2 linked regions of the Sus scrofa genome follow. The protein of the gene in region 1 purifies or fractionates together with the protein of each later gene. This does not show direct contact. Links are inferred from orthologs where the notes say so. Each region holds a gene or a part of one and is shown in the gene's direction. Other genes may lie near its edges.

Region 1 (3,652 bases):
GGGTTAAAGATTTGGCGTTGCTGCAACTGCAGCTCAGATCTGATCCCTGGCCTGGGAGCTCCATATGCCTCAGGGTGGCCAAAAATTAAAATAATGATAATATTAATATGTAGTGGTGATTTGGGACACCATTTTACTATGATTCTTACAGTTTAGAAACTTGGAAGGTGTTCTCATCATTGTTACCTTTTAATCTGAGGTTTCAGCTGCAGCGTAAGAGAGAACTTTGCTTCTGCTTTTTTTCTGTTGATATTTCAGAGTAGTCTCTGTGGCTTTTTATCTTATCCATTTTCCTCATGACAGCTCAACTTCCTTTATCATAAAACACTTAGGTAGTACTCTGCCAAAAAAAGAGAGAAATACGTACAGACAACCAATTGATCTCCCCCCCCTCCCCCCGAATTTGGAGGGATTTGTGTTCTTTTGTAAGGTTGTAGAATAACAGGAGCTCTCGCTATGGTGCAATGGGATTGGTGGTGTCTTGGGAGTACTGAGACCTGGGTTCAGTCCCCAGCCTGGCACAGTGGGGTTAAGGATCGGCATTGCCACAGCTTCAGCTTAGGTTGAGACTGTGGCTGAGATCTGATCCCTGGCCCAGGAGCTCCTTATGCTGTGGGGCAGCCAAAAATGGGGCGGGGGGGAAGAGTTATAGAATAATAGAACTGGAAGGGACCCTAGGTGTAATCTAGACCAGTGCTGCTTCAAGTGTGGTGATCCCTGGACCAGCAACATCAACATCACCTGGGAGTTGTTATAAATGCATATCCTGGACCCAACCCTGGACCTACAGAATCAGATTTTGGGGTGGGTTGCAGCATTGTGTGTTTTATCAAGCCCTCCAGGTGATTTAGATATATTCTGAGGTTTGAGAACCACTGAATTCCTTAATTTGAAAGTTTATGATATTCAGGTCCAGAGTATTAATATCTGCTCCCCATCCCCAATTTAAGATTCAGTTTTCAAGTTTTATGTTTTCCAGGCCTACTTTGCAACTTGGGTGTATCTATTTAAGATGCCTAGAGACAGTCCCCTCTCCCCTCCACACCACCAATAGATGTAGGTAGGCATTTCTGGCAGGGGAAAGTGTGCTGGGGCTCTGTCTTGTGTAGCTCTAATAGGCTACAAAGTTAGGTCAAAAAGTGATATGAATTGATTGATCCTGTTGCACCACAAAGAGCTGAGTGATACGTTTGTAGCCAAAACCTATGAATGGAACTTTGAGCTTTCATTATTCTGTCTTTTTTTTTTTTTTTTTTCCTTTCCTTTTTAGGACTGCACCCATGGCATATGAAGGTTCCCGGGCGAGGGGGTCAAATCGGAGCTACAGCTGCTGGCCTACGCCAGAGCCACAGCAACACGGGATCTGAGCCATGTTTGCAACCTACACTACAGCTCATGGCAACGCTGGATCCTTAACCTGCTGAGCGAAGCCAGGTATCAAACCCGAAACCTCATGGTTCCTAGTCAGATTTGTTTCCCTTGTGCCACGACGGGAACTCCTCTATGTCTTAGATGTAAGTTCTACCCTCCTTGCACCCTCAAGCTCTTGAAAATTAAAGGAGGTGATCTTTCCAGTTGATTTGTACAAGGCTCTAAGTAAATTCAGGGTCACAGTTTCCTTAATGGCTGTAACGTAGCTATGTTACCCATTTGGAAGAAAAAACAAATTTAGGTGCTTGTGCTGTGGTGCAAGTGGGCTATGGATGTGCAAGGAAATAAAAGATTCCACTATTTAAGAATAAAAACATCTAGATGCTTGAGTATTTAAATTCTCAACCACAGTATTGAAGCATCATTTTTCATGTTCTTGAACAAGATCATGACAGAGTATAGCAGCACCATCCCCTCCCAGCTAAAGTGCCTTTGTTCTGATTTCCTGCACCATAGAGTACATCTGTTCGTTGTTCCATACTTGGCCTGTCCTGTGGATCTCAAGTAGTACCACACTTACAAAATAGTATATAGCTACAAGATGCTTTCACAAACTGGTGGTATTTTCCATGTTACATTTGACAAACTCAAGGTTCTGAGGAAAGGTTAAATGATTTGCCCAAGGGGTTACTGGGTCTGTACCATTACTTTTTCATAGTAACTGTTTCTCTTTGTGGCATATAGACCTATATGCTTAGGTTTGTGTTCTCATTGGTCAGAGGCCATCACAGCTTCAGGTTAATAAAATGCTCTTTATTTTGTAGCCATCCAGTCCAATGGATCAGATGGGCAAGATGAGACCTCAGCCATATGGCGGGACTAATCCGTACTCGCAACAACAGGGACCTCCATCAGGACCGCAACAAGGACATGGGTACCCAGGGCAGCCGTATGGGTCCCAGACCCCACAGCGGTACCCAATGACCATGCAGGGCCGAGCGCAGAGTACCATGGGCGGCCTCTCTTATGCACAGCAGGTAGATGGTGACTCCAATTTCCTTAATCCTTGTTGTTGTCCAGGATCTGATCTTGAGCTGTAGAATCAGAATGTGTCTTTGGTTTCCAAATGTCTTGAAAGGAACATAGGCCAGCTGAATCTTAGTTACAGTATGCTACTTAAAAGGCCAAGTTGTGGGCACCATTGCATGTATGCTCAAGGAAAACTGGTCCCTGGCAGGCTCTGCTTATCTGTCTTATTCTGTGACCTGGCTGGCCTCCTTGTACTCACTGGTAATCTCTGAAGGAAGTGGGAGGCAAGAAAGGCAATGACTGAGCACCAGTCCACTGCTACAAAGAAAAGTCATTCCTACCATGTGCTCTGGGACAGAAGGCTTGCATGTTTCTCAAGGCTTTCAACATATAGCTGTGTGGTTTAAAACAAATGTTTAGGAGTTCCCGTTGTGGCGCAGTGGTTAACGAATCCGACTAGGAACCATGAGGTTGCGGGTTCAATCCCTGCCCTTGCTCAGTGGGTTAACGATCCGGCATTGCCGTGAGCTGTGGTGTAGGTCGCAGACATGGCTCGGATCCTGTGTTGCTGTGGCTCTGGCGTAGGCTGGTGGCTACAGCTCCGATTCGACCCCTAGCCTGGGAACCTCCATATGCCGCGGGAGCGGCCCAAGAAATAGCAAAAAGACAAAAAAAAACCAAAACAAAACAAAAAACAAAAAACAAATGTTTAGGGGTTAAGGATCTGACATTGCCACAAGCTGTGGTGTACGTCTCAGATGTGGCTTGGATTTGGTGTGGCTGTGGCGTAGGCCAGCAGCTGCAGCTCCGATTCAACCCCTAGCCTGGGAAATTCCATGTGCTGCAGGTGTGGCTGTTTAAAAAGAAAAATAAATAAAATAATGTGAATGTTTAGGAGTGGTGGCTCAATGGGTTAAGGATTCAGCATTGTCACTGCTGTGGCATGAGTTGTTCAATCCCTAGCCTGGGAACTTTTGCATGCCACAGGTGTGGCCAGAAAAAAAAATGCATGTTTAGAAGGGACTAGGACGACTAGGTAGCAGAAAAGGAAAGATTGAGGAGTAAAGATGCTAACAGTGCTGTTACGAATGTTAAGATTTTCCTCCTCTCCTTGTCTGGCCATCCACAGCATTATCTTTTTATTGTCATTTTTTGTTTTGACAGCACTTTCTACAATTTATCCTTGAGTGATAATCACACTAAAAATGGTGACGGATAAATATAAAAACCTAAGACTTTAAAGTATGCCCTT
Region 2 (3,652 bases), on another chromosome or scaffold:
GGAGCCAGCCAGAGGCTTCTGATTTGCCTGAACCTCTGTCACTCTACTGAACCACCTGTGTTGGAATTGTTGGCTTTTTGGCAGTGCATCTGTCTATCTTACAAAACTGAGTTCCTTGAAGGCCAGGCCTGGGACTCCCTACTCCCAATTCTCACTGCCTAACAGGGGCCTGGCCCAGCGTCACTGCTCTGCACTGATGTTGAACGAGTCCAGAGGGAAGACTGGGTGGCAGTGTTTTCCCACATGCTGGGCCCCCTCTAGCTAACCGGTTGTCTTTCTCTCTTTAGCAAAAACGAAAGCTGCGGATCTATATTTCCAATACGTTCAGTCCCAGCAAGGCAGAAGGTGACAGTGCAGGAAGCGCAGGGACTCCTGGGGGGACCCCAGCAGGGGACAAGGTGGCTTCCTGGGAACTCCGAGTAGAGGGAAAACTGCTGGATGATGTGAGTTGGGGGGAGAGGTGCTGGAGGGGAGGTGGCCTGTGTGGGTTTCATTCTTGGGCTGACACTTGGGCGCTCCTGGGGATGTCCTGCCTGAGGGAGAGCAGCTTTGCACAGCTCCAAGTCAGTGAGAGGTGGCAGATTTGTATGGTTGTGACAATAGTTTTCCTGCAGATGGCAGTGAAGTGTCCTGCGGAAGGGGTACCCCTTTCTAATTTGTCGTGCTTTATTGGCTGCCAGTGGGGCTGCATAGAGCCCTTTTCCTGTCCCCAGTCTCTCATTTTCTCCTCTTCCCTCAGGGCCCAAGAGCCCTCGGGTCCCCGAGCTTCAGGGCCAAGACAGCATTCCTCTTTGGGGCCTAGTATAGCTTAGGCTCGAGCGCCCAGCAGCACCCCCATCTCACACCCCTTTGCATCCCCAGCCTAGCAAACAGAAGAGGAAGTTTTCTTCATTCTTTAAGAGCCTTGTCATTGAGCTGGACAAGGAACTGTACGGGCCTGACAACCACCTAGTGGAGGTGAGAGTGGGCCTGGGGTGACGTGCCAGGTGGGCAGAGAAATGGTCTTGGTCCCCGTGTAGGGCCAGTTGTGTATAGGGTCATGCCCACCCCCTTGCTGATGAGCTCTGCTCCCCTCCTCATGCCAGTGGCACCGGATGCCCACCACCCAGGAGACAGATGGCTTCCAAGTGAAACGGCCTGGAGACCTCAATGTCAAGTGCACCCTCCTGCTCATGCTGGATCATCAGGTGACAGTGCCCCTCATCTGGGGGGGTGGGGGCATGTTCTTATCATAAACCCTGTCCCTGCCCTGTTCTTCCACTTTGATTTTTCCTAAGAACCCCTCTGTCCATCCCCAGCCTCCCCAGTACAAGTTGGACCCCCGACTGGCGAGGCTGCTGGGGGTGCACACACAGACGAGGGCTGCCATCATGCAGGCCCTGTGGCTCTATATCAAACACAATCAGCTGCAGGACGGCCACGAGCGCGAGTACATCAACTGCAACCGCTACTTCCGCCAGGTTAGCTGGGCCCCTGCCTTGCGTGCTGCTCCAGAGCCTCCCCCCACCACCCCCTGGGCTAGTTCTTGGCCACATTCTTCACACGGATCCTAGGATGGTCCACTTCCCCTGTCCCAACCCTCGGGTGTTCTTTCCAGATCTTCAGTTGTGGCCGACTCCGTTTCTCTGAGATTCCCATGAAGCTGGCTGGGCTGCTGCAGCATCCAGACCCCATTGTCATCAATCATGTCATTAGGTAAACGGGAGACGGGGAGGAAGGCTCCTCTAAGAACAGCTTATGTTTGGCTTGATGTAAAACCAGAGAGAAGCAGCAGGTTTGGTTCCTAGCAGCGTGGCCCAGGTGGGTGGGATGGCGACAGCGGTGTGCTCACCCTGGCTCCTGTGCGCTGTCCTCAGCGTGGACCCGAACGACCAGAAGAAGACCGCCTGTTATGACATTGACGTGGAGGTGGATGACCCGCTCAAGGCCCAGATGAGCAATTTTCTGGCCTCTACCACCAATCAGCAGGAGATTGCCTCTCTTGATGTCAAGGTGGGCCCTCCTACCTCCCCAGCCTGCTCTGGGGCCCAAGATAGAGGTGGGCAGGCTCTATCTAGACATGTAGCACCTTGGGGCAGGATCTGAGTCCTTTGGGGTGAGGCTTGGGACCAGACCCTGTAGGGGTGGGAGCCAGTCTGACCCATGGACTCCTTTTCCCAGATCCACGAGACCATCGAGTCCATCAACCAGCTGAAGACCCAGAGGGATTTCATGCTCAGCTTTAGCACTGACCCCCAGGACTTCATCCAGGAATGGCTCCGTTCCCAGCGCCGGGACCTCAAGGTGTGCTCTTCTCTCCTGAGCTTGAGCCCATGTTAAGCGCTGGGTGGTTTTGCCCCCATCACTCTTCTTTCCGTTCCGGGGGCAGACTGGCTAAGGGGTGGGAATCACATCCGGCTTTCCTCCCGGCTCTTTGCAGATCATCACTGATGTGATTGGGAATCCTGAGGAGGAGAGACGAGCTGCCTTCTACCACCAGCCCTGGGCCCAGGAAGCAGTGGGGAGGCACATCTTTGCCAAGGTGAGGCCGCCTCTGCCCACCTGCCCGCCTGCAGTCTTGAGCTGGCCGCACTCGGGAGGGGAGGGGTGCGGTCACATGCACAGGCGGACAGGTCTGAGCGCAGCTCTCTCCCCCTCCAGGTGCAGCAGCGAAGGCAGGAACTGGAACAGGTGCTGGGAATCCGCCTGACCTAACTGCTCAGGGATCCCTTTCTTCCCAGCCCTGGAGCCACCCCCTCCTCGGCCTGGAAGGGGACCACCCTCTGGAGTGCCGACACTTAGGATAAGGAGGGGGTGAGAGGTGTCTCCTGACACTCTCTGCTCCCAGCTTTCGTTTCAAAATGTAGTGATAGGATTCCTTGTTGCTTGGTCCCCAAAGCCTTATTATTTTACACGTTGGCTTTAATTGGGTTCACAGGAGGCCTTCTCTGCCCCCTGCAGGCAGGCCCGAGTAGGACCTGGAGGCTGTGCTTTGACATTGTAAGGAGACCTTTCAGAACCAAAGGCCACTCTGGCTTTGCTTGTTTACAGACCCCCTGAGGGCGAGTGTCGGAGCTGGCTCTGGGGAGCTGGGCGAGGAAGAGGGGCACAGCTCACACTCTTCCTAGCCTTTCCAAACCAAAGTTCTTTGCCATTCCTACCAGCCCAGCCTTGCTGCTGGCTTTTTCCTTTCCTTTGGGTATTTGCACTATTTGTGGAGCAGGTTTTTCTATGCGGGAGCCACTTTTTATACAGGGGTAAGCTGGGGTTTTTCAGGGAGCCCTACTTGGTGCCTCCTTCCTTCTTTTCTTTCCTTGATCTATGCAAGCGGCTCCAGCCGCCATCATCTCCTGGGATGCCAGAGGGCCGCCGCCCCGGCTCTTGGGCTTGGGGGGAGCACCTCTTAGAGGAAGGGTGCACTCTATTCTCGGGCACGGCCTGAGGTGTGGGTGTGCGGGCTTGCTGGAGGGCAGGGTGAGAAGAGGAGCAGTGGGCAGGACTGCTGTTGCCCTTTGGAGCTCGGTAAGGAGGGTGGGTGGGCCTAGGGCTTGGCAAGTGCCACTTCTGGCAGGTTTGGAAATTTCCAAATAAATCTTTTGTTTATTGGTGGTACCCAGACCCAGTGTTTGAACAGTGTAGCCACTTATTAACAGACTCAAGTCCTCAAAGGCTC

Evidence for each region. The genes of interacting proteins can lie anywhere in the genome.
Region 2: the proteins of ARID1A (region 1) and SMARCD2 purify together in Homo sapiens (affinity purification with mass spectrometry; 7 studies listed by BioGRID and IntAct, with this or other methods). This does not show direct contact. The link is inferred for Sus scrofa from reciprocal best matches to the Homo sapiens genes ARID1A and SMARCD2.

Annotation. Positions count from the first base shown.
Region 1 is NC_010448.4:84,073,641-84,077,292, forward strand, and holds part of ARID1A (AT-rich interactive domain-containing protein 1A), read left to right. Parts: intron 1-2,195; coding exon 2,196-2,408; intron 2,409-3,652. UniProt on the Homo sapiens protein: Involved in transcriptional activation and repression of select genes by chromatin remodeling (alteration of DNA-nucleosome topology).
Region 2 is NC_010454.4:15,098,304-15,101,955, forward strand, and holds the end of SMARCD2 (SWI/SNF-related matrix-associated actin-dependent regulator of chromatin subfamily D member 2), read left to right. Parts: intron 1-287; coding exon 288-443; intron 444-861; coding exon 862-957; intron 958-1,085; coding exon 1,086-1,187; intron 1,188-1,298; coding exon 1,299-1,460; intron 1,461-1,597; coding exon 1,598-1,695; intron 1,696-1,856; coding exon 1,857-1,992; intron 1,993-2,160; coding exon 2,161-2,283; intron 2,284-2,419; coding exon 2,420-2,521; intron 2,522-2,640; coding exon 2,641-2,694; 3' UTR 2,695-3,596; downstream 3,597-3,652. UniProt on the Homo sapiens protein: Involved in transcriptional activation and repression of select genes by chromatin remodeling (alteration of DNA-nucleosome topology).